Elephas maximus indicus: one gene and its partners. The protein of the gene in region 2 purifies or fractionates together with the protein of the main gene of each other region. This does not show direct contact. Links are inferred from orthologs where the notes say so. Each region holds a gene or a part of one and is shown on either strand. Other genes may lie near its edges.

What was found.
Region 1: the proteins of EPC2 (region 2) and ING3 purify together in Homo sapiens (affinity purification with mass spectrometry; 3 studies listed by BioGRID and IntAct, with this or other methods). This does not show direct contact. The link is inferred for Elephas maximus indicus from reciprocal best matches to the Homo sapiens genes EPC2 and ING3.
Region 3: the proteins of EPC2 (region 2) and MBTD1 purify together in Homo sapiens (affinity purification with mass spectrometry; 3 studies listed by BioGRID and IntAct, with this or other methods). This does not show direct contact. The link is inferred for Elephas maximus indicus from reciprocal best matches to the Homo sapiens genes EPC2 and MBTD1.

What each region holds. Positions count from the first base shown.
Region 1 is NC_064826.1:28,788,061-28,798,189, reverse strand, and holds the start of ING3 (inhibitor of growth protein 3), read left to right. Parts: upstream 1-6,157; 5' UTR 6,158-6,327; coding exon 6,328-6,355; intron 6,356-6,599; coding exon 6,600-6,671; intron 6,672-10,129. UniProt on the Homo sapiens protein: Component of the NuA4 histone acetyltransferase (HAT) complex which is involved in transcriptional activation of select genes principally by acetylation of nucleosomal histones H4 and H2A.
Region 2 is NC_064824.1:45,493,966-45,504,821, forward strand, and holds the start of EPC2 (enhancer of polycomb homolog 2), read left to right. Parts: upstream 1-6,373; 5' UTR 6,374-6,668; coding exon 6,669-6,821; intron 6,822-10,856. UniProt on the Homo sapiens protein: May play a role in transcription or DNA repair.
Region 3 is NC_064837.1:42,532,203-42,542,252, forward strand, and holds the start of MBTD1 (MBT domain-containing protein 1), read left to right. Parts: upstream 1-5,422; 5' UTR 5,423-5,670; coding exon 5,671-5,691; intron 5,692-6,286; exon of another isoform or gene 6,287-6,350; intron 6,351-10,050. Other genes in the region: UTP18 (U3 small nucleolar RNA-associated protein 18 homolog), read right to left, coding at 686-784, 2,850-2,962, 4,601-4,939. UniProt on the Homo sapiens protein: Chromatin reader component of the NuA4 histone acetyltransferase complex, a multiprotein complex involved in transcriptional activation of select genes principally by acetylation of nucleosomal histones H4 and H2A.

The DNA of each region.
Region 1 (10,129 bases), on a different chromosome or scaffold from region 2:
TATTTGAGCCTGTTGTTGCAGCCACTGTGTCAATCCATCTCATCGAGGATCTTCCTCTTTTTTCCTGACCCTCTACCAAGCATGATGTCTTTTTCCAGGGACTGATTCCTCCTGATAACATACCCAAAGTCCGCAAGATGCAGTCTCACCATCTTTGCTTCTAAGGAGTACTCTGGCTATATTTCTTCCAAGACACATTTGTTCGTTCTTCTGACAGTTCATGGCGTATTCACCAACATCATAATTCAAAGGCATCAATTCTTCTTCCATCTTCCTTATTTATTGTCCAGCATTCTCATGCACATGAGGTGACTGAAATACCATGGCTTGGGTCAGGCGCACCTTAGTCCTCAAAGTGACATTTTTGCTTTTTAACACTAAAAAGGTCTGGTGGTGTAGCAGTTAACCAAAAGGTCAGCAGTTCGAATCCACCAGGCACTCCTTTGAAACTCTATAGGGCAATTCTACTCTGTCCTATGTGTTGGAAGCGACTCGATGGCAATGGTTTTTTTTTTTTTTTTTTTTTTTTGCAGAATTGCCCAATGCAATGCATTTTTTATTTCTTGACTATTGATTCCATGGGCATTGATTGTAGATCCAAGTAAAATGAAATCCTAAACATCTTCAATATTTTCTTTGTTTATTATGGTATTACCATTTATGATCCCTACATGTCTGTCAGTCTGTCGTATTGTGGGGGCTTGCATCTTGCTGTGATGTTGGAAGCTATGCCTCCGGTATTCAAATACCAGCAGCGTTACCCATGGTGGACAGGTTTCAGCTGAGCTTCCAGACTAAGACAGACTAGGATGAAGGACCCAGTGGTCTACTTCTGAAAAGATTTAGTCAATGAAAACCTTACGAATAGCAGCGGAACATTGTTTGACATAGTGCCAGAAGATGAGCCCTGCAGGTGGGAAGGCACTCAAACTACGTACGACTGGGAAAGAGCTGCCTCCTCGAAATAGAGTCGACTTTAATGATATGGACAGAGCCAGCTTTCCGGACTTTTCTGTGCTGATATGGCACGAGTCAAAATGAGAAGAAACAGCTGCAAACATCCATTAATAATCGGAACCTGGAATGTACAAAGTATGTCTCTAGAAAAATTGGAAACTGTCAAAAATGAAATGCAATGCATAAAGACCAATATCCTAGGCATTAGTGAGCTGAAATGGACTGGTATTGGCCATTTTGAATCGGACGATCATATGGACTATTATGCTGGGAATAACAACTTTTTCAGATGAATGGCGTCAGTCACATTCACTGTCAAAAGGAACATTTCAAAATCTATCCCAGAGTACAACACTGTCAGTGATAGAATAATATCCCTATGCCTACAAGGAAGACCAGTTTATATGACTATTATTCAAATTTATGCACCAACCACTAAGGCTGAAGATGAAGAAATTGGAGATTTTTACCAACTTCTGCAGTCTAAAATTGATGGAACATACACTCAGGATGCACTGATAATTACTGGTGATTGGAATTTAGAAACAAAGAAGAAAGATCAGAAGTTGGAAAATGTGGCCTTGGTGATAGAAACGATGCTGGTGATTGAGTGACAGAATTTTGCCAAGACCAATGACTTCTTCATTGCAAACTCTTTTTTTTGCCAACATAAACAGTGACTATACACATGGACCTTGCCAGGCGGAATACACAGGAATCAAATCAACTACATCTGTGGAAAGAGATGATGAAAAAGCTCAATATCACCAGTCAGAACAAGGCTGGGGGCCAATGCGGGAACAGACCATCAACTGCTCACAAGCAAGTTCAAGTTGAAACTGAAGAAAATTAGAACAAGTCTGCAAGAGCTAAAGTATGACCTTGAATATATCCCACCTGAATTTAGAGACGATCTCAAGATTAGATTTGATGCCTTGAACACTAATGACTGAAGATGAGACGAGTTCTGGAATGACATCAAAGACACCTCAACATAAAGAAGACAAAAATCTTCACAACTGGACCAATAAGTAGGAAACCCTGGTGGCACAGTGGTTAAGTGCTATGGCTGCTAACCAGAAGGTCAGCAATTCAAATCCACGAGGCGCTTCTTGGAGACCCTAGGGGCAGTTCTACACTGTCCTATAGTGTCGTTATGAGTCAGAATTGACTCTATGGCAATGGGTTTTTTTGGGTGGGTTTTTGGGACCAATAAGCGATGTCATGATAAATGGATAAAAGACTGAAGTTGTCAAGGATTTTATTTTACTTGGATCCACAATCAACACCCATGAAAGCGGCAGTCAGGAAATCAAAAGATGCATTGCATCGGGCAAATCTGCTGCAAAAGACCTCTTTAAAGTGTTGAAAAGCAAAGATGTCACTTTGAGGACTAACAAGCTATGGTGCTTTCAGTCGCTTCACATGCATGGGAAAGCTGGAGATGAATAAGGAAGACCAAAGAAGAACTGATGCCTTTGATTTATAGTGTTGGCAAAGAATATTGAATATACTGTGAACTGCCAAAAGAAGGAATAAATCTATCTTGCAAGAAGTACAGCCAGAATGCTCCTTAGAAACAAGGATGGTAAGGATATGTCACTCACATACTTTGGGCATGTTATCAAGAGGGATCAGTCCCTGGAGAAGGGCACCATGCTTGGTAGAGGGTCAGCAAAAAAGCAGAAGACCCTCAACAAGATGGACTGACACAGTGGCTGCAACAACGGGCTCACGCATAACAATGATTGTGAGGATGGCACAGGACTGGACAGTGTTTCGTTGTTGCACTTAGGGTTGCTATGAATCAGAACTGACTCGAAAGCATGTAACAACAACAATTGAATCATTACACTAAGTGCTTTGCATAGATAATATCATTACGATCATATAGTACTATGATTTAGCTATTTTTACTATTTCCATTTTGTAGACCAGGAAATGACACAGAGAATTAAAATAACTTTGGCCAAGATCACACAACAGTGTTAGAGTAGGGAAGTGAACCCATGCAATTTAAGTGTAGATCCTGCACTGAAACACTGCAACCATCCTGCCTCCTGTTTCCCAAATAAATTTTTAAAAAAGGTCAACCGTAAAGGTGGGGTGAGGGAAGACAGATACTTGAGTCACGCTAGTATAAAAAGCAGTTCATAATGTATAATCAGCTGAGTGATTAATAGCTAGAATTCTACTTTTTTTTTTTTTGTATTATGACAATGTAGACTTGTAAATCAGGCTCTTTTGGCAAAAAAAAATCCAACTCTAGGCAGAGAAAGGAATAAAAGGCAAGGAAAAAAGTAAAGCAGCTCTGGGGGTCTCAGCAACAGCAGCTTGTGGACCATATATCTATTGAGCTGCAATTAATGTAATTTTGTCAACATTCCTTCAGTCTCAGTGTCTCTACATTCCAATTTCAAATCCCAGGAGAGTGCATCCAGTAGGCCCACATTAATCAGAAAACTCTTCTATATATGTGTGTCCAGGTTTTCCTCTCCATTACAATCACCTCCATAATGGGATATGCTGTGAGTAACCAATCAGTTGAAAGGCAGTTTCCTTGGGCACACACCCTGCATCAAATATAAGTGGATATTCTGGCAAGGCCTGTGAGCTTTTGCTCGCACCCTGGATCCTATTTGTCTGGCCTCTGGTTCTTGGGATTTGAGTTAGCAGCTTACTGCTATCTTGCTCGCCAATCTTGGGATTTGTTGGGCAGCCTGTGAGCCAGAGCCCTGCCATCTAACCAGCAGATTTTGGGCTCGCCAGCCCCTTCAGCTACATGAGTCAGGAGAAGCCTCCAGCCTGACCCACATTTCCAGCCTCTACAACTGTGTGAATCTTTTCCTTAATATAAATCTCTCCATATATATATGTATATGCTTTACTGGTTTTGCTTCTCTAGAGAACCCAGCCTAAGACATTTGGAACCGGGGGTAGTTCCAGAGAAACAAAACGCTAAGGGTGAGTTTTCTAAATTGGTTTTCAAATCTGGTTAGTCTTAAAGATGTTGATGGCTCTGCTTTCAGTAGTAAAGATGACACAGCTAATCCTTGAAAGAAAGCCTTATTTCTTATAGTAACAGCTGATATCGCCAAAAATACTATGTAGAGGATGGGATTTTCCAGCCTCTATAACCATGTGAGCCATTTCCTTGATATAAATCTCTCTATACGGGGCAGTTCTACTCTGTCCTATAGGGTCGCTATGAGTCGGAATCCACTCGACAGCAATGGGTTTTTTTTTTTTTTTAATAAGGTTAAGCGTTTGGCTGCTAACCAAAAGGTTGGCAGTTCGAATACACCAGCCGCTCCTTGGAAGCCATATGGGGCAGTTCTACTCTGTCCTATAGAGTCCTCTGAGTCAGAATCAACTCAACGGCAACAGTTTCGTTGTTGTTGTTGTTTGTTTTATATATACATATATATATATAATGCTTTACTGGCTTTGCTTCTCTAGCGAAGCCAGCCTAAGACAGTGAGAAAGTCTGTATATGTTCTAGGAGAGAAGAGAGAAAATGGGGAATAAGCAACATTGAAGAAAATAATGGCTTAAAATTTTCTATAATTGTTGGAGGACATTAATCCTGACATTCAGGAATCCCTTTAAATCCCAAGCATAGTTAAAATAAAACCCAAAAACAACAAAAAAGAAGAAATCCAGACCTAGATTTAATCACTGTGAAACCACAAAACAATCAAGACAAAAAAGTTCCGAAAGAAAGAGAGAGAAAAAGAAAGACTTAAGGTACCAGATTTTAGATACAAGTAGAGAAGATAAAAGTAGGTAATAATTCTTATTAGGATTGGGGTAAAGTTCCTTTGAGATTCATCAGTATGACAGGAAGTCTCCTGATTAAGTGCGGTAGAAAATTCTTGAATACAAGAGTATGTAATGGAGGGGACAAGCTGGACACACACATAAACAAGAGTTTCCACACCAAGCAGAATAATACAGATTAGAACATTAGATTATAAACTAAACACAATTTTTCCTAAAAAATGAAGAGATTTAAATAAAGAAGTGAGGAAAATAATAACTAACATTTACTGAGTACTATGTGGTCGCTATGAGGCAGAATCGACTCTACAGCAATGGGTTGGGTTTGGTTTTTGGTAGAGTTAAGAAAAAAGAAACTGAGCAGTGAAGAACTAAACACATCACTTACGAACTTTTGGGGGAAGGAGTCCAAAGTTGGTAAAAGACAATATCCACGACTCTAGATGTCTATTATAATCCAAAGTTTTTACTAACACAGCTCATTGGACATAAAAGCTCCAAGAACTATTTTTCTTTTGCAGGTGTTGAGTATAGGAGCCCTGGTTGCTCAACGGTCAAGATCTTGGCTATTAACCAAAAGGTCGGCAGTTCAAATCCACCAGCCTCTCCTTGGAAACCCTATGGGGCAGCTCTACTCTATCCCATAGGGTAGCAATGAGATCCGAATCCACCGGAGGGCGACGTGTTTGTTTTTCGGTTGTGTGTATAGATCAACTACAATAGAAAGACGTCGGAAAGAACTGAAAAATAGGACATATGATTATAAGAGGCTACCAGCCTTGGAAACCCTATGGGGGAGTTCTACTCTGTTCTTACAGGGTTGCTATGAATTGGAATCAATTGCAACCGGTTTGGGTTTTGGTAGCGGGGATTAGCTGTCACCTTTTCATCTGGGAATGCACATTCCACTCTAACTTCTCAGTGTAAATTACATTAAAATTACATAGACGCCAACCAGGTGTCCCATTTATATTTTTAGGAGTGAATACTGAGGGCAGATTCCAGCAGAGTTTTGTTCTTCACGTTCCAAATTACCCGAACTTTACTGATTATTCCACCGTTAGAACCTTCGCGATTTGCCGGGCACTGAAATCCATGAGTCACAAACACCGGGTCATAAAATCATAGCAGTAAAGAACAGGTGAAAAGTTGTTCCTAGTTGTGTTGTGCAGGAGCATACAACTCCCGTCATTCCCTGTCAAAAATCAACAAATAAACAGAGGCACCGCATTTCGGATTCAGCGGCGCACTGTTCGCAATGGCGCCTAGTTTTTGTAGTTTCCACGTGGAAAGCTGCCCGCCCATCAAGGCTCGTTCCGGAGGGAGGAAGACTACACTTCCCACAAAGGCGCAAGAGCTGACACCGACCGGCTTACGTCATTGCCCCAGTCAGCCAATGGCAGCACCGGGCGGCAGTGAGGCGAGCGCCGTCAGGCGCCAAAGTGTTTCTTTTCTTTTTTTTTTTTTTTTCCGGAGCCGAGCGGGTGCTGCTAGCGGAGGCGCCATATTGAAAGGGACAAAACTCCGGCGACAGCGAGTGACACAAATAAACCCCTGGACGCCCTCGTTACCCCAGTTCTAAGGGCCGCGATGTTGTACCTAGAAGACTATCTGGAGAGTGAGTGCGCGGCGCTGACGTGGGCCGCCGGTGTGAGCCGCGGGCGGGCGAGAGTGCGAGTGGCCGGGCAGGCGGGATGGCGGGAGGGAGGGGGCGGCGGGGGATGTTTCTTTCTCACGGTAACTGGCAGGCTCGTTGTGGGCTGCCGGCTCCCTGGCCCCCCCGACGCACGCAGACGCGCAGTGACGTAGGCGCGTATTTTCGCCGTTGGCCCCGCCCCTCTGACGGACTCTCTCCTTGACAGTGATTGAGCAGCTTCCCATGGACTTGCGGGACCGCTTCACGGAGATGCGCGAGATGGACTTGCAGGTGCAGAGTAAGTCGCCCGGTTTGCTCTTGTTCGCTTTGCGCATCCAGCGCTAGACTTGCCGGCTCTTTGACTCTTCTGGCGCGCTCGCTAGTGCGTAAGGAGTTGTCAAAGAGAACGGGCATTGCCGAATCTTGTCTCTTCTCTCCCGCGCTGCTTTTCTCGTGGCGTTCACAAGAGGAGACATTGGGGCAAGTGTATTTTTTTCTCGAATTTGGGTCTGTGCAAAAAAAAAAAAGTATACATTTATTTATTTGGCATATAATGGAATATAATGGAATTTACATCAGCATAAATGTTGAGAAGGTTTTGACTTGAGCTAATACGTTACCGAATTTAAATTTCAACACTTCTTTCAAAGCTCCTCTCCTTAAAATTTTCAAGAGCAGAAAACTTCTAGAAGCATGGCTTGTATGTAGGTTTTCAGAAACCCTGGTGAACTTGGAATACCACATTTTGGAAAGTTACACATTGTAGCGTACGTTCTCAGTTGTCAGCCACACAGTGTTTCCTCAATCAAAATGAGTGAGGGTAATTAGATTTTATTGTAAAGCTACCTGTCGCATGTAATAACATTTTTGTCAGCGAGCTTTTCTTCTTTTCGTGATAGCTTGGTTGTCGGGTGACTTTACCGAAATTACTTTGCCGTTTCAACTAGAGAGTTGGCAAATGGCCTTCAGGGTGTTCTGGAATACACTGGAATTATATCCTATGTATATATATATATTTTTTTTTTTTTTGATTTCTTTTTTTCTGGCAAGTTCTGAAAAGGGCCCATTATTCAGAGAATGCAAAGAATCACTGTCTTTGGAGATAAGAAAGCAAATACTTAGGCAGAATTACATTAACTAAAAAAAAAAATATATATACATTACAAAGTAAGAAAACAGTGCTGTATACCATATTTATGTCTACCATGCTGGGACAGAACCTGACAAACCTTCCCTATTTGTGAAATGAGTATGATGAGAGTTGTTTCAAGTGTCTTGTAGGGATACTTTGTTAAAAATTAAGAATGGGAAAAGAATAATATGATACATAATTAAAATGTATAATTGAAAGTCCCTTGTTGGATGTGTCACTCCCTTTGTTTGTAGGTACTCCTTAATTGTGTAATTAGCATTAATAGCTAGCCTTCATGGAGTATGGCCCCAGAAGATATGTGTTTTGATTCCATGCATCCCAGCTATGTGTGGTCTGTATATAAAATGTTTGTCATGCTGGCAGGTTTTCTTAGAAAAGTAGGCATGGATGTTGATGTGGGTTTTGAATTCTGATGGAGAGGAAAGGAGTATTATGGAAAGAGATCAGCTCAACAAGCTTCCCAGACTGTGGAAGCCTTGGAGTAGCTAAGACCCTGTCCTTTTCATTTCCCCTTGCTTCTCTGCACCCCTCCCCCCCCCAGCCAATACATCTGTACCCATTGTTAATGAATGTACTTTCTCAACCTCTTACCAGTTTCATTAGGGGCATATTAGAAAGGTGATATGGTATGGAAGCCGCCACATCCTTCTACTGGGTATACTGTATGATGGAAGTCTGAATTGTACATGGGGCTCTCTATCCAGCTCACAAAACCCAATTTAACTTTATTATAGTTGAAATGCTAAAGATTTTTTAAAGTATTGTTTTCTGCAGGATCAAGCACAGACTTTTATGTCAGGTAGGTCTGAGTTCATTTAGGGCTTTGCTACTAACTTACTGACTTTGATCACATTACCACTTCTGAGGAGTTTTCATCATCTTTAAAATGAGAATGATCTAAGGATTAAAATAATACAGATAAGTTACAAAGTATAGTACGTGGTGCAAAAAAAAGCAAAACCAAACCCATTGCCCTGGAGTCGATTTCGACTCATAGCAACCCTGTAGGACAGGGTAGAGCTGTGCCATAGAGTTTCCAAGGAGCACCTGGTGGATTTGAACTGCCGACCTTTTGGTTATCAGTTGTGGCACTTAACCATTATGCCACCAAGTTTTCCAAAAAAGAACATTTTATAAATTTTCATTATCATCACAAATTTAAAATTCTCTTATAATTTATACAAATTACAGGCTTTTTAACTTGTATTTTTTTTTTTTTTACAATGATTAGAGTTTTCTAACCTTAATAGATATTATGGGTTAAAAGAGGTCTCTGTGTTAAATAAGTTTATTTATTAAAAAAGGAAAATACTTTTTAAAAAATTACAGTAGGGACTCTCAGAATCTTTATGAAGCTGTTTTGTACTGCAAATTTCCAAAAGGAAGATAGAATAAAAAGGTTTTCCTCAGCTTACATGATGACAGAATCCCATTTATTTGTCCTTTTGTAAAAAGGAGCCCTGGGGGTGCAGTCCTTAAAGCACTCAGCTGCTAATTAAAGGGTCTGCAGTTTGAACCCACCAGCCACTCCCCAGGAGAAAGATGTGGCAGTCTGCTTCAGTAAAGATTTACAGCCTCGGAAACCGTGTGGGGCAGTTCTGCTCTGTCCTTATAGGGTTGCTATGAGCTGGAATCTACTCAGTGGCAGTGGGTTTTGGTTAACAGACATCAAGTGAGATGATTATTCCTGGCACAGGCACACACTTTGAGGAAAACTTATCTAGAATAACTAACAGTCTGTTAAGTGAATAAATGATTGTACCTGTTACATTCACTTGTGATAAGAGATAATGAGATACTTAAGGCCATATCACGAGATATTAAGATCTTTTTACCACCTTTTCTTATTAAAAGAGGTGTAAGGATTAAGTAGTGGTGCTTTCAATAAGTAATTGTGTTTTGAGACATTTAGCCTATTTAATTCTAATCACTTCTTTTTTTGGAGAAACAAAATTTTTCTGTGTGCTTTAAGTGAAAGTTCACAGCTCAAGTTAGCTTCTCATACAATAATTTATACACACATTGTTATGTGGCCCTAGTTGGTATCCCTGTAATACGTCATCATGCCTTTTTCTACCCTGAATTTCCTGTGTCCATTCAGCCAGCTCCTGTCCTTTCTGCCTTCTCATCTCGCCTCCAGACAGGAGCTGCCTATGTAGTCTTACGTATCTACTTGAATTAAGAAGCACACTCTTCATGAGTATCATTTTATGTTTTATAATCCATTCTAATCTTTGTCTGAAGAGTTGTCTTCAGGAAAGGTTTTAGTTCTGGGTTAACAGAGAATCTGGGGGCCATGTCTTCTGAGGCTCCTCCAGTCTCAGTCAGACCATTAAGTCTGGCCTTTTTACTAGAATTTGAGTTCTGCATCCTACTTTTCTGCTGCTCTGTCAGGGACTTTCTGTTGTGTTTCCTGTCAGGGTGGTAATTGGTGGTGGCTGGGCACCATCTAGTTCTTCTGGTCTCAGGTTGATGGAGTCTCTGGTTTATGTGGCCCTTTTTATCTCTTAGGCTAATATTTTCCTTGTGTCTTTGGTGTTCTTCATTCTGCTTTGCTCCAGGTGGGTTGGGACCAATTGATGCTTCTCACATGACTGCTCGCT
Region 2 (10,856 bases):
GGTGTTCTTCATTTTCCTTTGATCCAGGTGGGTAGAGACCAATTGATGCATCTTGGATGGCCACTTGCTAGTGTTTAAGATCCCAGATGCCACTCGCCAAAGTGGGATGCAGAATATTTTCTTAATAGATTTTATTATGCCAATTGACTTAGATATCCCCTGAAACCATGGTCCCCAAACCCCTGCTCCTGCTACTCTGGCTTTCGAAGCATTCAGTTCATTCAGGAAACTTATTTGCTTTTGGTTTAGTCCAGTTGTGCTGACCTCACCTGTATTGTGTGTTGTCTTTCCCATCACCTAAAGTAGTTCTTATCTACCATCTAATTAGTGAATACTCCTCTCCCACCTTCCCTCCTTCCCCCCTCTCATAACCTTCAAAGAATATTTTCTTCTCTGTTTAAACTGTTTCTCGAGTTCTTGTAATAGTGGTCTTATATAATATTTGTCCTTTTGCAACTGACTAATTTCACTCAGCAGAATGCCTTCCGGATTCCTCCATGTTATGAAATGTGTAGAAGCTATTTTAAATGTTTTCTGAAGCCAGGCAAGTGTGGAGTTGTGGGTAAACCAACAAACATTCAGGTAATTAGCGTTTTATCCCAACGGTTTCTGTTTCTTCCCCTGCCAAAGTCACGAGTAATAGCCAATGAAAAGGAGGTAGGCCTGTTTTCTAATTTAGAGACATAAAGTTGCTTTCCTTTCTGCCTCCTATCCAGTCACTCTTGAGTTCAGGGGATAATGATAAGATCAATAGGGCATGGCTATTACTAAATCAGTTCACCAGTTTTAATTCAGGATTCCAACTGCATACTCCATTTGCAAATCTGTGCTTATGAACAATAGTCCTTTGGTGGCAAGAGAGACACAACAAAAGTGAGGGAAGTCACATTTGGAATAGCAACCCAGGTTTCCTAAAATGGAATCCTCTCAGCTAACACCGTGGGACCTTAGCTAGCTGTGCACTGTAAGCCTGCTTCAGTTGTCTGAAATGTGCCAGGAAGTCATTGGGACTAAGCTGCCTTCACAGAAAGAGAGAAACCACCTTCCAAGTTACCTGTCAGAGACACTTGAGGAGAAAAAGATGGGTGAGTGGAGGAGGTCAGGGTAGGCAGCTGAGAAGAACAGACATTACAGAAGACCTAGACCAATGGCAGATACTCACCTTAGCCCTCAAAGTCCTAGGATCTCCCCCTCCAACTCCCTTTTGAAAATACTGTGAAAGGCCTACCCATTTCTATGAATGTTACAGTGGCTACAGCTGAATGGCAGCTGTGCTGAATTTATAGCTGGTTTTCTCCAAATGTGAGATTTCTCAAGGGCAATGTAGCTGGGTTGGCCTTGCCCCAATGAAGTGTGTTTCCCTGTTGCAAGTGCAGACATATTTTAAACCTGACTATCATACACTTTACTAAAACAGGTAGAATCATATTCATAACCTCAATGGAATTACTGCCTCTCAGAAATCCAAAGTACTGAAATTACATCTAGGTAGCTTGCTTACTGTTTGGACACGGACAATCGTCCCTGTCAGATTCATTAGCTCTGTCACAAGAGCTTTGCTTATTTTTAGCATCCCCGTCCAAAAGCCTGAGTGAGCTCTATCAATCTGTTTCATGTGTGGACTAGTGGGTGTGTTTTCCGGTCAGGGGTGGGGCAGACTGTTGGTGTGATTTAAAATTGAGTGTTGTGGACCCTCAGGAGCTGTGTGTTTTCAAACCTGTTTCCCTCAATTACATCTGTCTCATTTTGCCTTGGTAAATAAAACACGGAGCTTTTGGACTGATTATTTTTGAGTCTATCTGCATCCTTTGTGGAACTGGGAAGTAAATCGTCGGCTTATACACAAGGTGGCACCCTGTGATCCCAACCAGGTCTGAGGAGTGATGCTTTTAAGAGACTGAGCCACAGCTACACATTTTTATTTACCATCTGGTATTTTTTTTTTATTCCCACTCTGGTGAATATAGAAGTGGACGTAGATGTCTGGCATGTCACTTGAATACAGTCTTGCTCCCTAAGTCCCAAAGATTCAGGCCCGCCTCAGTAAAGGGCACTGGAAGCAGCAAAGTGACTCTGGTTAATTGTAATGAAAGCAAACCAACCCCACATTCAGGTTACATATGGAAAGCAGCAAAGCTTTACGGGTACTGGGCTCATTCCTGGGAACATAAGGGGGAGGAGTAGGGAAAGCAGCTCACATACCAACCCAATTAACTTTCAACTGAGTTTGCCGAAATAGGGAGCCAGTTAAAAGGAACGTGACATTTACAAAACTCTGAAATAGTTGAAAAGCAACTGTGTTTACTAGTTTTAAGGCTCCTTTCAAAAAGTAATTTGTCCATTATTTGGAAGCTGCCTGCCCTGATTGTAGTACAGGAAATGGAAACTGGAAATGTAAGTTCAATTCTTATGGTTACTTGATATTAATTCTAATTTAGACTACATTTAGATACTGGCTTTATTTTCGATATCGCTTTAAAACTGGTTCTAATTCTCGGTGTTTATATATATTACACTTGCTGGGCTAAGTGCATTTCATTTGGAATTGGTCCAGAGGATATCTGAAGTGGACCAATTTTAGAATGACTATACTCACTGCCTTACAATGAAATTAAAATAGGCTATTAGGCTGCACAGCCATTCAAAACATGTTTTGATAAAGACATTTCATAAGAGGATCTACTTCAAAAGTTGAAAAGATATTTTGTGTTTGGCACTAACAATTAAATGGGTGTTCAAGAACTAGATTACAAATAAACGTTACTTTATGAGAAATAATATTTATATCCAAATAAAAGCTACTTTCCAAATGTGAAACATAGGCACATTCTACTTTGAGCACTGAATTGGAAGGCAAGAAAACACAGGCTGTGTCTCACTTGAAAAGTGTATTGTGTTATTTGCCTCAAACTGTTTTATTCCCAGCTCTATAATCACTGCCTACAGGGCAAGGAGAAAATGGAGATTTGGGGAAGAAATCGATTCTAAAGTAAAAGAACAAAACAACGACAAAAACAAGAACTACTACAGCAAAAACCCATTCTTGTAATTAAATTTTAGGTTTCAAAAAGTTTGTTTGAATTGTTTTAACTGGTTCTAAAATTCCTAAACCCAAAGGCAGGAAGCTGGAGAGCAGTGTAGGCCACAACAAGAGCAACTATTGGCAATGATGGCTAGTTCAGGTGACAGGCCAGGAAGGTATCCGAACCCTAAAATGGAGTGGAATAGGGTCAGTATAAATGAATTTCCTGGTGGAACATCTGTCAACAAATATATATACTAGGTGCCTGCTATGTATTGTGAGGCACAGAACTGGAAATATAGTGCTTAACAGAGCAGCCATTGCTCCTGCCCTCCTTGGAGGTATTACATCTTTAGGCTCTGGAACCTGATAGAAGAGTTTCAGTAGTTCACCTTGGATCAGCAACTTTGGAATGTTGAATGGTCAATAAGAAGAGAGGAACTTGGGTAGCAGCGTAGCATTGCTGACAAAGTATGTGTTTTGGAGTCAGGCTAGACCTGGATTTGAACCTAGTTATTAACTACCACTTATTTGTGTAGACAAATTATCTATCTGAGCCTTAGTTTCCTTAGTGGTAAAATGATAACATTTCTTTGCAGGGTTATAATGAGAATTAAGTGGAATTTAATTAATTGAGATAATATATATGACGTACCGTTATAATATATATAAAGTCCCTGGGTGACCAAAGCGGTGCTCAGCTACTAACTGAGAGGTTGGCAGTTCAAATCCACCTAGAGGTGCTTCAAAAGAAAGGCCTGGTGATTTACTTTTGAAAGATCACAGTCATTGAAAACCCCATAATGCACAGTTCTACTCTAAAACACATGGACACATTCATGTAAAAACACCAGACTTACTGGTCTGACAAAGACTGGAGGAACCCCCAAAACTACGGCCCCCAGACACTCTGCTAACTCAGAACTGAAACCATTCACGAAGCCCACTTTTCAGACAAAGATTAGACAGGCAACACACACGAGGAACGTGCTTCTTAGTTCAATCAAATGTATGAGACCAAATGCAGGACGAGAAGGCAGGGAGGGACAGGAACTGGATGAATGGACACCGAGAACCTGTGGTAGAAAGGGGGAGTGTGCTGTCAAATTGTGGGAATTGCAATAATATTACAAAACAGTATGTGCACACATTTTTGAATGAGAAGTTAACTTGAGCTGTAAATTTTTACCTAAAGCACAATATAAATAAATAAATAAAAACATACAGTGTCTCCATAAGTTGGCACCAACTTGATGGCAACTGGTTTTTTTTTTTTTTGGTTTACCATTATAAAGTCTGGTATATCACAGGTACTCAAAACTTCCTTTCCTGAGAGTAACAATGAATATAGGGAATAGAAAAAAGCTATCCTTTTTGAACCTGAGAAGTGCTAGGAATACAGATGACTCACTTATTTCCTTTACTAAATTGCTTTCTTTTTTTCTCTTTCTGCCTCCCAACAACTTCTTATTCTTCCTTGCAGAGGACTGAAACTCCTTCAGAGGGTAGCACTCAGAGCGGGACATGCCCATGAGCTTGAGGAAGGTATTGCTTACAAGAAGAAATGAGTCACAGCATCTCCATTGTTTCCAACAACAAAGTGATGGAAAACACTCAAGCTCCACTAAACAACGCTTGGAGTCTTGCTGGGCCAAACTGGTTAAATTGTTTAGAAGCTACTATGAAATCCTTATCCACCATTCTGCCTTCAAAAGAAGGGGAAAAAGAGGGAGAAAGAGGGAGAAAAAGAGGGAAAGAAGTGGGGGTAGGAAGAAGGAGATAATGGATGGAAAACTAAAAAAACGAACCCCTTGCGGTCCAGTCAATTCCGACTCATAGCAACGCTATACGACAGGGTAGAACTGCCCCATATGGCTTCCAAGGAGCGCCTGATGAATTTAAACTGCCAACCTTTCGGTTAGCAGCCATAGCTCTTAACCGCTATACCACCAGGGTTTCCATAATGGATGGAGAGATACCATTTCGATGTCACGTACAAATGACTATGAATCAATTTTTTCCCTGCTAGACTTCAGCAAACCCTTCTCTCAGCTAGGGAGTTTACCAATTATTAAGAATTGATAAAATCTGTGCACTCATCCTAGGGATATTGTGAGAAACCTGTAACGCTTTAACTAAGAAACTCTTGGCTATGCGAAGTTGATGTCAGCAATATCAATTACTTGATTTCCCCTCCTTTTTTTTTTTTTTTTAGGGCTTTCTCTGACCAGCTCAGGTTAAAGTAATGTCTCCTTTCTCTGAACTTTCATGGCATTTATTACCTGTACAACTCATTTGATAATGAATCATGTGCCTTGTGTCATCTCCTGTAAAGTTTTCTTCAAGTACTTTTATCTTTTGCTGTCATTTATTTTTTCCAGCTGTTCATCTATTTACATCTCTCACTGTTATCACCTTTCCGACTTCTTCTGTCATTCCATTAATGTGAAAGCTGCAGGAGGGCAGAGACTTTATCTCTAACTTCTTTGCATCTTCCACAGCACCCAATATCTTGCACATCTATCTGCCTCTTTGGAAATGTGTGCGGTCTTGGTCAAATTTTGTAATTTTAATTTCTAAAAACTTATTTTTTTTTTGAAATCTGAGAAATACCTGCCATCTTCCAAATAACTCTACAGAAGTTTGAGGGACAGGTTCCAGTACACTTGTTGCATCCAGCAGCCTCAAACCATTAACCCCTTCTGCTCCCATTAGCGTCCTCCCAGCGAAGGCGAAGATGAGCGACGGTGCCTTATCTGGGAGCGCTCTACCGGTCAGGTACTGACGAAAGGACGCGGGGAAGTGGGCTGGGGCGAGCGCGCGCTTCGGGGTGGGTGAGACCCCGCAGGTCGGCTCGCCTGTGGCAGGGCAGACGGAATGGACCGTTTGCACCTTCCCGGGATGTGCGATTTGGAAGATGCGTTAGCCTGCCCTAGGCGCGCCTTGGAGACGGGCGCTTTATAAATACATGCTCGGGTAATCGGCATCTTCCTTTCCCGCTCACAGACTTCAGCCCGTACGCGCTGTTAGGCGCCGCGGCGTTTTGACCGGCGCCTTCCTCCCGGGCACCCAAGGAGCGGGATGCTGCGGCCGCGGAGGCAGAGGCGCAGGTTCTGGGGCACGGGTTAACTTGCGCACCTGGCACCTGCCACGCCGCAACAGCAGCGGCCGGCCAGCGGAGGGGCGCCGTCGCCCACTCTCCTCCCGGCGGCCGGAGGCTGAGCACGCTCCCGCGGGCCGGCAGCGCCGCGGAGAGAATGGGTGGGTAGGCAAGGGAGGGGAAGGGAGAGGAAGGAGGGAGGGAGAGGGCGAGGCGCGTCCCCGCGGCGGGGGCGCGCTCTCGCGCGGGCTGCCGGGATCGCTCGCCGCCGCTGTGGTAATGTCCGCCATGTTGGCCATGGCGCAGGGAGCGGATCGGGCGGGCGAGCGGCGGATCTAGTGTGTGGAAGCGGCCGCGGGCGGCGGGGGGCTGTTTTCGGGTGGGGTGGGCGCCCATGCTGTGGCCGGGGCCAGTGAGGAGGAGGAGGAGGAGCGGGCCGGCCGCGCTGCACTGAGGAAGGAGGTGGAGGAGGCGGCGGGAGTCCTCCCCCCCTCCCCGCCCGCCCCGACGCCGCCGCCCGGGCTGTTCCTGTAAGGCGGGGAGACAATGAGTAAACTCTCCTTCCGAGCGCGGGCGCTGGACGCCGCCAAACCGCTGCCTATCTACCGCGGCAAGGACATGCCTGATCTCAACGACTGCGTCTCCATCAACCGGGCCGTGCCCCAGATGCCCACCGGGATGGAGAAGGAGGAGGAATCGGTAGGGACTCGAGTGTTTATTACCCCCCCTTCCCTCCTCCCCCCTCCCCTTTGTCAGTCGGGCCTCGCCATTCACAGAGCGCTTTACGCTCGCTGGAGGGCGCCGCTGCCGCTCCAATGGATGGGACCTTACGCCGGCGGAGTAGCGTAAACCCTCTCGGCCGGCGCAGCGCCCGCCCGCGGCCGCCATGTTGTTGCGTCCCAGTGTTGTGATTAGCTCGCAGCGCTGCTTACGCTGCCGTAAGGGGGCCTTGCCGTAAGCGGCGGCCGGGAATGGCGCAGGGGATGCTTTAGCCGCACTTGGCGTACGGTCTCTGTTTACCTTTTTTTTCCACCCCGGTGCCGGGTTGATTAATGAGCGCGGGATCTTTCGGCTAGGAAAGACTTTTTTTTCTACCGACTTTTAAATTTGCTTTTGCATTGGGTTCTCTTTGAAATGACTTATGAAAAGTAAAGTGCTTTAAAAAACAAACATCGTTTTTCTCCTAGCAAGGTAATGTTCGCTCGTCGCTCCCTCGTCCGGGATGTTGCAGCGGGGTGAGTGGTGCAGCACTGCGGCGGGGGAGGGCGGGGGCCGCGACTACCACGGTGTAGGTAGCGTTAGGGAGACGCGAAGGGCTCGCACCCCGGCCCCGCGCGGGACGGCTCTGCCGGCCTCGCTAGGACGGCGCCCGCTCGGCGCGTAGCGTTAGGAATGAACGACGGATGTTTGGGAAGAGCAGTCGGCGTGCGCGGTGCCCACGCTCTGTCCCTGAGAATTGTCAGTAGTGGATGGTGGTCATTTAGAAGTTGAAGACCTCGTGCATATGAATTGGCCGTTGTTTATTTGATGTTACAATGCCTTTTAGCAGAAATGATGCTTCCCCCCCTCCCATGGTAGTGGCTTGAATTTTACATACAGTTAAATTTCGTCTGACTTGACAGTGTTTGTGACTCTCTAGTGGTGTTCCTTGCATGCGAAGTTAATAGTAACTGCACCCTCAAGAATTTCTTCAATGAACCTACGGTCCCGCCTTATTGTCAACCCCGGGCGTGTGTGGATTGGTTCTCTTGCTTCTGTGACTGTCAAAAAACGGCACGAGGTTTCTGTGATTGGTTTTCTCTTTTGTCTATTAATATTGAAGGAAATGCTTTTATGCTTTTCATTGGCTACTCAGGTTCTGATCTCATTATATTACCCCGTTATTACTATTTTCAACTGTGATTTAATCACATTTTTCTTTGGTGTTTGATTTTTTGAAAGACAACCTTTTCAGTGGGAAATGAATATAGCCGTAATAGCGGGATGAGCGCTCAACGTTTTTAAAATAAATAAAATGAAAATCCAGCATATATGCCTGAAGTTTAATGTTGAATGACATTTTGATTTTTTTTAAAGAAAATTTGTTCCCAGCTTCGCTCAGTTTTCCGTTGAAAGGATAATTAAAATAGAATAATTATAGTGTGTGTACATAATGGGTTGAATTTTCTTTAATAACGCTTAAAAACACAGCTTTGGGTTTCCACAAAGTTAAATTTCTGTTAGTGTTATTTTATGGGTTTTGATCCAAAAAAAAGGTAGCTTAGGAATCTAAGTATCAATTAGGTGTGTAATTACTTGGATTTTATTATTTTGGTTTGGTAAGAGTCAAGAAACCTGTCCAGAATGAAGAGTTAAACTCTGGAAGGTATGTATGATGTGTACAATGATCAGCAAAATTTGGTCCTTAGTTGTCTTGGTATTTTATCTGAATTTAGGAAGAAAATTTGCAGTTTTTTTCATGTTGTGTTGAAAATAAGTGCTTAACTCCTGTCACAGCACGGTACTATTAACCTTTTCAGTAAAACTTGTGATTTTCAATCTAGAACATGAGTGCCAAAGTTGGATTCTTTTCAGTCTCCTGCCTCAACTCCCCAGTTTTAAGAAAGAAGAAATCCAAATTCCGATAGAACCATAGTTGAAACCCAGGGCTTCTAACCTTTTTCTCTGTCTTTTCTGCCTCTTTAAAGTGACAAGTGGAGGTCCTTAAAATCAAAACAAACCCTGACAGTTGAGATTTATAGTTGAAAGTCTTGCTTCCCAGAGTGTCCAATTGGGATATTTTTTCCCATCTCTTCTTTTTTTCTTAAATTAACATGTAAGAAGACTTGCGCTTTTTTGAGTGGCATTCCGTTTAGTTCTTCTGGTCTTGTTTACAGGACTTTAAGCAGCACTATTTGTTTAAAAACAAAAAACAAAACAAAAAAAGTTCTGCCTTGATATAAATTTCACAGATGTTTTGTTTTGTGTTTCACTTGAGTTGTGTTTCAACCCAACTTCCAGAATCTACATGTTGTAATTAGTTACCTTCATAAGCATTTTTTAAAATCATGTAGAATTGGGGGGTGGGGGAGGGCTTATGAATGTACTAATTTTTGCTTGGCATTTTAAAAAATGTCCACAAAGTGACCCCTTCTCTCTTTGGCTTGGCAAAATCCTTTGATTAATATTAGCGTTCATGGATGTTCATCCTCCTTTACATCCCACCCCCAACAATAAAATTAAGGACTCTCTCCTTTGTGCGTAGCTTCTGGACTATCGTTAGACTTTATAAAGTCCTTGACTCGGTTTGGAATTACATTCAGACAGTGCCTGATTGAGGTAATCTAGGTGTTCCTTGACATTGGTGGCACTCTTATCATTGCTGAGAATATTGTTCCTTTGATCCTTTTCTTTTGGCAAGCAGGCATCTTTTACTTCTTTTCTTCCCTGTCCTTATTTTCATCATCTTTTGTCTGACATTTGCCAGTTGGGATCTTCCTATAGCTTGGTCTTTGTAGTCTAGGTCATGGCACTTGGCCTCAGTCAGATACTATAAACTTTTATTTATTTGGAATCTAAACAACCAGATTTTGATCAGCCATTTTGCCACCTCCCTGTAAGTGTTGATGTTTTAAATTAAAAAAAAAAAAAAAAAAAAATTTTTTTTTTTTTTGAAAAAGCTACCATTTATTGAATACTTTCTATGTCCTTGTTACTGTTTTAAGGGCTTCATGTGTATTATCTCATTCAGTCCTTTGAGGTATAAGTTACATACAATAAAATGTATTCATTTTAAGCATATGTTTTGATGAGTTTGGACAGATGTATGCACCCATGGGAACCTCACGACCGTCAAGATACAGAACTTTTCCAACACCCCAGCAAGTTCCTTTGTGTTCCTTTGTAGTCAGTCCCCCTCCACCCTAGTTCAAGCAACCTCTGATTTTCTTTCTTTATAGATTAGTTTTACCTTTTCAAAAATTTCATATACATGGAATTATACTATTTTGTGTCTGGCATCTTTTGCTCATGATGATGCATTTGAGAGTCATCTGTGTTGTGTGTGTGTCGATCCATTCGTTTTACTGCTAAGTAGTATTTCATTGAACTGATGCACTATATTCATCCATTTATTTTTTGTTGGATATTTGGATTGTTTCCAGTTTTTATTATTTAATCCTTGTCACAGCCGTATGAGGTATTTTGATTCCTATTTTATAGATGAAGAAACTGAAGGGCCTCACAGCTAGCAAGTGGCAGAGCTGGCATTCAAGTCCTTGCTTTTAATGTCACAAAATCCCATTCTCCTAACCACTATGCTTCCGTATTGACCTTGTACAGAACCCTGAATTATCTTCTGAACTACTACATAAATATTAAATTTATTACAGTTTTAGTATGTAATATTTTTGCTTTTTCTAATTTTGGCAACTTAAAAAGATGATCTTGATTTGGTCAGAATATTAAATTGTTAGGAAGTGTAGTTTTTTTCATCATTGAACTGTTTCTGACATTTGCTTTTGGCTTTTCAAATTTTGTCTTTTTTTTTTTCTTTGTAGTTGCTTCTCACTGTATTGGCACCATTATGTTATGTTAAGCATATGAGAAATTTGTAGGAAACGATCCTAATTTGTTATTTAGATTTTCTCGTGCTAGAATGTAATCTCTATAAGCTCAAGAATCTTCTTGTTTTGTTCATTGTCTTCCGATTGCCCAGAACTGTGCGTAGCACATAGTATATGCTTGATAAATGTT
Region 3 (10,050 bases), on a different chromosome or scaffold from region 2:
GATGTTCACTGAGGAATTTAGAGGGGAAATGTACCGTTGTCTGCATCTTACTCTCAAACAGACTGGGAAAACACACACACTCCAACTCCACATATATAAAGCAAACGTGGCAAAATATTAAAAATTAATTAATGTAGCTGGCAGGTATGTAAATTTTTTTTTAAAGTTTCACAGTATACAGTTGTAGAAAAAATGGTTCACGATAAAAAAATGAACAAGCAAATAAACAATATCATCATGTGGTTATATTGACACAAGTTTTTTTCCCAAATTTCCTTTCTGTTTGTTGTATTCTCCACCGCCCCCCCCCCCGCCAAAAAAACTGACATTTAGCCATTTCCTCCAACACCAATACTTTTACTGTGTCTAAAGAGAAATTCGACTACCCAAGTTGTTATAACCAAAGACTGTGCAAACCAAAATAAACTATTGGTTATAAACTCTGTGTGCCATCGAGACATTCCAACTCATAGCGACTATACATGACAGAGCAGAAGTCCCTCAAGGGGATTCCTGAGCTATAAATCTTTATGGAAGCAAATTGCCAGGTCTTTTCTCCCATGGAGTCACTAGAAGGTTTGAACTGCCAATCTCTCAGTTAGCAGCTGAGTGTTTAACCACTGTACCACCAGGGCACCTTTGGTTATAAATACCTCTTGGTAAATCACATTAAAAAGACACTTACTCTTCTTTAAGTCTCTTTTGAAGCTTGTCCTTTGAAAGTTTACTTTCACTAGCATTCTTCATCATATCTTTCCGGAACCGATTGTTCATCATGTCAACCCTGTAAGAGATCAAAACAGCATGCTTGTACAGAAAATCCCTGATGCAGCAGGAGAAAAGCAGGACGCAGACCTCAAATTCTAGTAAAATGACCAGACTTAATGGTCTGAGACTCGAGGGACCCCAGAGGTCAGGGCCCCCAGACTCTCTGGTAGGCCAAAACTAAAATCATTCCCTAAGTCAACTCTTCAGACAAAAATCAGACTGGTCTATAACACATAAAATGACACTGGTAAGGTGTGTGCTTCTTAGCTCAAGTAGACACATAAGACTATGTGAACAGCTGCTGTCTAGAGGCAAGATGAGAAGGCAGAGGGGGACAGAAGCTGGTTGAATGGACACGGAAAATAAAGGGTGGAAAGAAGGAGTGTGCTGTCACATTGTAGAGAGAGCAACCAGGGTCACATAACAATGTGTGTATAAAATTTTGTATGAGAAACTGACTTGAATTATAAACTTTCACTAAGAGCACAATTTTAAAAAAAGGGGAGAAAAAACAAGCTTTAAATGACTTTTACAGAGTCAACACAAATACCTGTTGCCTTTAGTATTTTGAGAGAACGTCTAATTGAACAATACATGTCAAGATTCGTAAGATGTGAAACATTTCATACACACATATGTGCGTCATTTTCCCCAAAACAAAGTCTCCAGTATTTTAAATCATCGAGTTTACCCTTGAGAGAGCTAATACTTCAAATTCATAACAGCTTATCTAGTCACAGCTTACACCATTCACTAAAATAAATCCTGGGTAAATCAAAGAATTAAACGTATAAAAGCCAAATTCAACATAGTATAAAGGGAAAAAGGCAAACGTTTGTCTTCTTCTAACAGATTTTACTGTTAAAAACAATGAAGAAAAAGATTCACAGATTTTATAATTTAAAACTATATATATTTTGTACTCTTAAAAAAATTACAAACAAAACTTAAAAGCCAACAGAAAGCTGGGAGAAAAATCTTCAATAAATCTAACGTATAAAGATTTGGAAGTCTCAGTACGTAAAGAGTTGATACATTAAAATCGTTAATAAACAGTCTCCCAGAGATGAGGAAAAACATAATTCTTACGAGAAAAAATACCAAGAACAAAAGCATTTTCTCAACACAGATAAAGTAAAGGTATTATTTCTCACCCATCAAACTAACCAAATCTGAAGAAAGATAAATCACTGATTCTGAGAAGACAGTGACGGACTCTTTTCAGTGAGAAGGTTAACTACCTCATGGTATACAGTCTAGCAGTATTCATCAAGAGCCTTAAAAATGTTTTTTCATCAAGTAATTGATCAAACATTCTGTACTTAAGGATTCCCACCTCAAAGAATCTTTAAGGAAATAATAAAGTAGGCAAAAATTTACGTGCAAAGATGTTTTTGTCAACATTAAAGAGCTATAAAAATTACAGTTAATTCATATAACTGACTACACTGTAACCATTGAAAACACTCATAAAAGTTTCTTTTAAAACAAGGGAAGAGATGCTTGATATGGGGAGAAATGCCTGCAATGTATCATCTAGTACAAAAAAAATCAAAAAATATACTGCAGTTTCTCAACTAATAAAACACATACTGTGCATGCTAGCTAATATTTTTCTGAGCCTTTCCTCAGTTTAGGCACTATGCTAAGGGTTCTACGTACGCTGTTTCATTTAATCCTAATAGCTTTCTGATATTGTTACTATTATTACCCCTGTTTTACAAACAGGGAAAGCTAAGTTCCAAACTTGCCCCAGGCCACATAGTTCGGATCTGGCCAAAGAAGGAGGCAAACTCAGGTCTGACCCAAACACTGTGCCCTCAACTACTCTGTACAGCATAGAAAAGAGAAGGAAAGAAGTATGCCAACATGTGGTTCTCTCTTGGTCGTGACTTTTTTTCTTATTCTTCCTGTATTTTTCAAATTGATACCTTAACTCCCATAACTATATTTTATTTGTATTTATAATGCCTATATTTTTCAGATCTTCACATGATTACGTATTCATAAAAAGAATTTAAAAACCTGCAAAATAACTTTTCCAGTGTCCAGACAAATTCTGGAAAAGACATGCAACTTACATTTCCTCATCTTCATCTTCTTCATCCACCCAAACTGGCTTCTTTTGAGGGAGAAATTTATCTTTTGCTTCATTCTCCACTTCTGAGTCACCAGAGTCCTCATGTACTTGAATCTAGAGAAAACAAAACGCTCTGAAGCACTGAGCTTTTCATATCCCATGACGGTAAAGACACACACCTTGTAGTTATATGGCTTGCAAAATGTTTTGTGTTTGCAGCCGTCTGATGAAGATAACGGAATGGAGTGTTACCACTACAAGTGCTAGAGGCAGAAGCAGAAAACGAGGAGGCCAGAAAATGGCACCACAGCCTGGACAGGGCGAGCGAGGCAAGATGAATAGTTAAGGAGAGAAAGTCAAGGCACTGAAAGGAACAGATCAAGACAAGAACAATGAAAGGTTATGTTGGCAGATGAAGAGCAGGAAAAATTCCAGTACCAAAATTACAGGACTAGAGAAAGACTAGCAGTAAAGACAAAATAACGTAATTAAATGTTACAATTAATCCCCATTTCATATTTTTAGAAATACCTCTTTTCCCTTTCTCTTAACCCTTTTCAGCCCTACCTCTTTAAGAAACTTTATACTACCAAACCTAAATCTAGATCACAGAACACCCCCTGAAACAAGCTTGAGCTTTCCCCAAATCGCACGATAATTTATGACTGGCCTATGATCCTTCAAAGCCCAACAAATCCCACCTCCTACGTGAAGTCTTAACTCCACGTAGACTGTTCTTTCTCCTCACTATAGAACTGACACACTGTTGAGCATTTTTCCAGCGTTAGTGCTCTACCTTCCAAGTAGATTTCAGCAGCTTCTCCCACAGCACCAAAGGGGGTTTTGAGCGTACTTAACACCTGCAGGATCAGCATTCATTTAACAAACGTCTACTGAGTAGTTTCTCAGGGAGGCTTTCCTTGGCCACTCTATAGAAAATTTCAGTGTCCTGCACAACACTTACCCCCTTCCTTGAATGCTTTATTTTTTTAATCTCTTTGGTCACCAACATACTTAAATTTTACCCATGTTTTTATCTCCTTTATCTCGTTTCTACCAATAGTACATAAGCTACAAGAAAACAAGGATTCTTGACAGTGTTAAACATTACTACGTCTCCTCCAGCACCTAGAACAATGGCTGAGCATAAAAGCCAAATACAGAATAAAAAGAATGACTTCTTTGAGCGTAAAAAATTAAAATCAATCACCCAGCCTGCCACTGCTAAAGAGTACCTAGACCCAACAGGATCACAAATACTTCCTGAATAAACGAATACACTGTACTTCTCAAAAGTTGGTGCGAGAAATAATCACCTAGAGAGGTTGCTAAAATAGATCCCCAGGAACGTGGCCACGAATTCTAGTTCCACAAACACAGTGGAACTCCGCAATCCATATTAACAAGCTCGGCAGGCGACTCAGGGAGGTGACCCACCCAGTTGGATAAAACACTGAGTTTTGGCAGAGTTAAGCAGAGCCGCGAAAGATGCTCCCGACCACGACATTCGTGTCCAGCGCCTTCCACCGGGGCGGAGAAAGGCGCGGTCTCCGCCCTCCCGGGACTTTCAGTTCGGAGCCAGGCAGGACTCGAGGTCCGCACGGAGGCGCCCCTCGGCGCCCGCCTTCTCGGCGCCCTCCCACCTGAACGCTCCCGCCGCCGCAGGTCGCCCAGGCTCCGCCCCCGGAGCCTCACCGCCCTCCGCGCGCCCCGCCCGAGCGCGCCCAGCCCGCGCGCCGCGGCCTCCCTCACCCGCGGGCCCCGAAGACGCCGCAGCAGCGTGTCCTCGTCGTCCTCGACGTCGCCGAAGACCAGCTCCTCTAGGCACCGCTCCACGGCCGGTTTGTCGTCCTCCAACGCCAGACGGTTCTGCTGCCGGAGCCGCCTCTCCTCCTCCACAGCGACTGCTATTGTAGCGGTCGCCGCGCTCGGCCGGGCCGGTGGTTTCCGCTGGAATGAAGGGGCAGCCTTTGGGGCCGGTCCGTCCGGCCTCGCTGCGGTTCTCCGGTTCGGCTTCCTTGGAGTCTTCCGGTCTGGCTTCCCTCTGGTACGCCGGTCCGGTTTCATTCGGTTCCTTCGCTCCGGCGGCATCGTTGGGTTTCAGAAGAAACGCAGGCGCTCACGTGGAACCTCACTACGCATGCGCCGGGACGCCTTGCTTTCCTTTGCCACAGAGGCCCGGGGGAGGCCGAAAGGAGCCTGCGCAGCCTCTTAGCACGTGACCCAACACTACCTCCCTACGTAACGCCCACTCCCCTCGTGTGCCCCTCCCCCTGTGGGAGTTCCTCCGGGAGGGCCAATCTTCCGGGTGTAGGGGGAAGCGGCGTGACAGGAGTGGAAAATTTTTCCAACACAACGTTGCAGCTGCAGCACCTTGAAAGGAGTACTAGAAAGCCAGAGTATGAACTGGGATGACTGAATGAAACTTTTACTCTTGCTCTTGACTTGAAGCACCTGGCTTAACCAAAGCTCCGATTTCTTTTTCCACCCCTTCGTCTTGGTACGGCCCTTAGCGTACGGCGCCTGCAGAGGGTCCCACGCTGGAAGAGAGAAAGGAGGGTATGTAGGGAAGTGGGCCAATCGGGGCGCGGGTCACGGCGCAGGCGCGCTGCGGAGGGAGGGCTATGCTAATGTTGTTGATATCCTGGGGCCACCCGAGTTAAAGGGGGGAAATCCGGGGGCTGCCGCAGCTGCCACCGGTCTGGGCCCAGCTGGGGGCCCCTGTGGTCACTGCAGTCCCGGGTAGAGGCGCCTGCCCCCAGCGCGGGGAGGGGGCGCCGCGGGCCTGGGGAGCACGGACAACCCCTACCCATGAGGCCCTGATGGAAAACACAAAGGATCTGGTGAGAGCCGAGCGCGGCGGCCGCTTTGTGTGCAAGGTGGGGGGGACGCCTGCAGCTCTCTGACCTCAGCTCCCAGGCCTGTTTCTCCATCCCACGCCCCCTCAACCCCCGGAGTTCCCCCTCCCCCTACTGGCCGTTAAACGATTCAAGGGCTCCCCTCCCCCCCTTCTCCTCCGCCCGGCCTCGCTGGGATTCTCTCTACCCCCTCCACTCTTTGGGAGGAAATTTGGAGAAAGTTTTTCTCTTTTTCCCCCTTTCCCCCTGTTCTGACGTGGGGGGTTGGCGGGATGGGGGACTTTTCCCTTTCTTAGCTGCCCGAGGTGGGAGAGTGGAGCCCTCATTCCCCTCGGAGGAGGCACAGTTTTAGTCCCCTGAGGGGGGAGGCGCCTATCTGCTTTGGGGTCAGTGCCGCGAGGCCTTTCGCACGTGGAGGTGGAAATATTGAAAGGGGGCGGGGTGGGCACGTGTGGGAGGGAGAGGTGGGAGTGGTGTTTGGGAAACAGCCGCCTAGGCCCTCGGCTCGAAGGGCTTTAAGTCGGTGGGCTTCTGTGACCATTGAATTCTGTTTTGTGAAATGAGAATCCTAACGTTTCAGAGTCGGAAGAGACGTTAGAGGTCACCCCAAGCAGCCGTCCCCTCTGCAGCCTCTCTGACAAGTGGTAGGTAGTCTGACCTCTGCTTAAACCCTGGGAACACCGAGCGGTCGCAACTGCCCAGGAAAGCCCGTTTCGTTTTCCAGTAGTTCTTGTTTGTGTTGCTTGCCCTTATTAGACCCTTCAGTCTCATTCAGTGTCCTTGTTAAGTTGCTCCTTTTTTTACTTCTCAAATTTTTTCTCACATCCTCCTCACCCACCCACCGCTCATTGGCCTATATATTTTGTGTGCCAGGAAAGAACAGCAGGGAAGTAGGGGAAGGAAGGTTTGAGAGATAAGTGAGGGCCAGCCAAAAACTTCGCTGGGTCACTTTCAGGTGTCCTGGCTTACATGTCTGAAGATGATTGCTGTTTTTCTACAAAAAGCTAGAGAATTGGGCCTTTTGGGGATTTCACAGCTGTTTTCTCTGGCTAGTGCATCTTTTTAAAGTTAGAAATTTCAGCATTATCTCCGTAGTTCTCCTGTCTCAAAGCACATTTGTGTGTTGCCTAAATCCTTTTCCCTAAGGAAGCCTAAAATCGCCTATGGGGGGTAGTGGGTAGTGCTGAAGTTGTTACAAGCATCTCTTGGTAGAGGGATGTTAAGAAGTGCGCCTTCTCTACCCCGACCCTTAACCTATGTGTTTCTTGCAAGCTGGCCTTCCTTCCAAGGCCCCTTCCTCTGTAGTTCATTCTTTTTTTTTTTTTTTCTTAGACTGCCCTGTTTTTCATGAGATCTGGAATTGATGCAGCACTTTAATATTTGTTTAGCGTTTGCAATATTTTAAACATTCCATACAGTAGTATGACCATACGGTAGTATGACTGGTATTTATCACTTGATAGTTGCGGTAATTCGGTTTCCCGGTAGTTTGATTTAAGCTGTTGTCACTTGCAATTTTCTAATGTTTACTTTCACTTGATGAGCTATGCTGCCTCCAAAAGTAGTTTTATTGGCAAAAGGATCTTGGGGCAAATGTTTTCTCTTCCTAATATGGTAAAGTGGGAGTTAGGGCATAACAGATGTAGTATAGAAGTAACGTAGCAAGTCTAAAACCTAGAGAATAAATTTTTGCTTCAGTTTAAGCTCTCCTGTCCCTGTTTAAAATGTGAGAGCACAGATATTTTCCCACCCCCCTTTCGTGACTTAAAAGAGACTGTTGCTTCTCTCTTGTGTGCTTAGACTGTGTTTTTGTTCTTGCTTACCTCAATACCAAAGAGTGTTTAGAAAGAAAATAGCTTTTTTTTTTTGCACAACCTCCTTTCTCTGAATAACAAGTCACTTGTATTTGTACAGAACCCCATACTCAAGGCTTTTGGGCACCTCCCAAAATATGAGGAAAATTTTTGAGTAAGTGTTCTTAAGTATTATGTTAGACTGTTTCCTTTAACTGCCCAGTGTTTTATTTTATGGACACTTTGAAATACAATTTTTTCTCTAAATATAATTATTAGGATTTAACATGGAATTGAATACTGGATAGTGGGGGGGGGACTGTATGGTTGGGTCTTTAAAGTTTTAATTACTATGGAGTTGCACATTGTTTTCCTTTAGACATGAACTGTCATGACTTAAGTTGTCTGACTTTGGAGATATTTGCATTCTGAACATACTAGACAGGAACAACTGGTTTTATTTTTAAAGACGACGCTGGTAAAATTCTGTCATGACTGAGTATATATTGGCCTGATTAGTTTTTGAACCTTCCTAGAGGTTTAGGTGCTTTTAGTTCCTTAGATACATTGGAAATTAAAACAAAACTATTTTATATTGTTTAAAAACATTGTAAGGATCAAGAAAAGAAAAACTTTCAGAAATAAAAATGTTGTTAATGTTATAATACTGAACCACTGAAACACTAAAAGCCAAGAGTGTTCAATGGCCTGAATGACCACATTTGTAGGCAAGTTACTATTCTTGGGGTTGCTCTTTGTTTCTCAATTTAAAATGTTTGCTAGTACTATAAAACTTAATCTTTTCACTTATAATTTCAAGTCAGGCCAGTCAGTATATATCATTGGTTTCAGGGTTTCACATCTAAAAGGGAGATGAAACATCAGCCCAGTAGAAGAGGAAGGACGTAAAATAAATACAACAAGCTATGTCTAACACCAGGGCATTCTTAGCTGTCTAAGACTACTGTGATTTTATATAAAGAGTGCAGATTGGCTTTAAAAATCTAATCATAATTCTTGAATAAGCTGTTTGCGAGAATTTTTTTCTTCACAAATTTGGACTTTCTCTTACTTTGTGGGAAGGGAAAGGGAGAGAAGGAAACTTATTTAAATAAACCCTGAATTTGAGGTGGGACATGACAAGTAAGAGGGACACTGGCAGACTGGGGGAGAGTTGCAGTTCTGCTGCAGACTAGCTCCATGGCACTTGTTAGACAAGATCCTGTACCTCAGTTTCCTTATGTTCACAGTCGAAGGGTTGGTCTAGAATCGGCATTGCCCAATAGAACTTTCTGTACCGATGGTGCTGTCCAGCATGGTACTAGCCACCTGTGGTTGTTGGACAATTAAAACGTAGCTAGTACTGTTTAGAATAGCAAAAACGTGGAAGCAACCAAGGTGCCCATCAACGGATGAATGGATAAATTATGGTATATTCATACAATGGAATACTACACATCAATAAAGAACAGTAAGGAATCTGAAACATTTCATAACATGGAGGAACCTGGAAGGTATTATGCTGAGTGAAATTAGTCAGTTGCAAAAAGATAAATATTGTATAAGACCACTATTTTAAAAACTCGAGAAATAAGAAGAAAACATTCTTTTGTGGTTACGAGAGAGGGGAGGAAGGGAGGGTGGGAGAGGGGTATTCACTAATTAGATAGTACATAAGAACTACTTTAGGTTAAGGGAAAGACGGCACACAGTACAGGGAAGGTCAGCACAATTGGACTAAATGAAAAGCAAAGAAGTTTCCTGAATAAACTGAATGCTTCGAAGGCCAATGTAGCAGGGGCAGGGGTTGGGGGACCATGGTTTCAGGGGATATCTAAATCAGTTGACATAATAAAATCTGTTAAGAAAACATTCTGCATCCCACTTTGAAGAGTGGCGTCTGGGGTCCTAAACGCTAGCAAGCAGCCATCTAAGATGCATCAGTTGGTCTCAACCCACCTGAATCAAAGGAGGATGAAGAACACCAAGGACACAAGGTGATTACGAGCCCAAGAGACAGAAAGAGCCACATGAACCAGAGACTACATCATCTTGAGACCAGAAGAACTAGATGGTGCCCGGCTACAACTGATGACTGCCCTGACAGGGAACACAACAGAGAACCCCTGAGGGAGCAGGAGAGCAGTGGGATGCAGACCCCAAATTCTCCTAAGACCAGACTTAATGGTCTGACTGAGACTGGAAGGACCCCAGAGGTCATGGCCCCCAGACCTTCTGTTGCCTCAGGACAGGAACCATTCCCGAAGCCAACTCTTCAGACGTGGATTGGACTGGACAATGGGTTGGAGAGGGATGCTGGTGAGGAGTGAGCTTCTTGGGTCAGGTGGACACTTGAGACTGTGTTGGCATCTCCTACTTGGAGGGGAGATGAGAGGGTAGAGGGTTAGAAGCTGGCGAAAAGGACACGAAAAGAGAGGGGAGGGAGAGTAATTGGGAGTGTGTAGCAAGGTGTATATGGGTTTTTGTGTGAGAGACTGACTTGATTTGTAAATTTTCCCTTAAAGCACAATAAAAAGTATTTTAAAAAAAC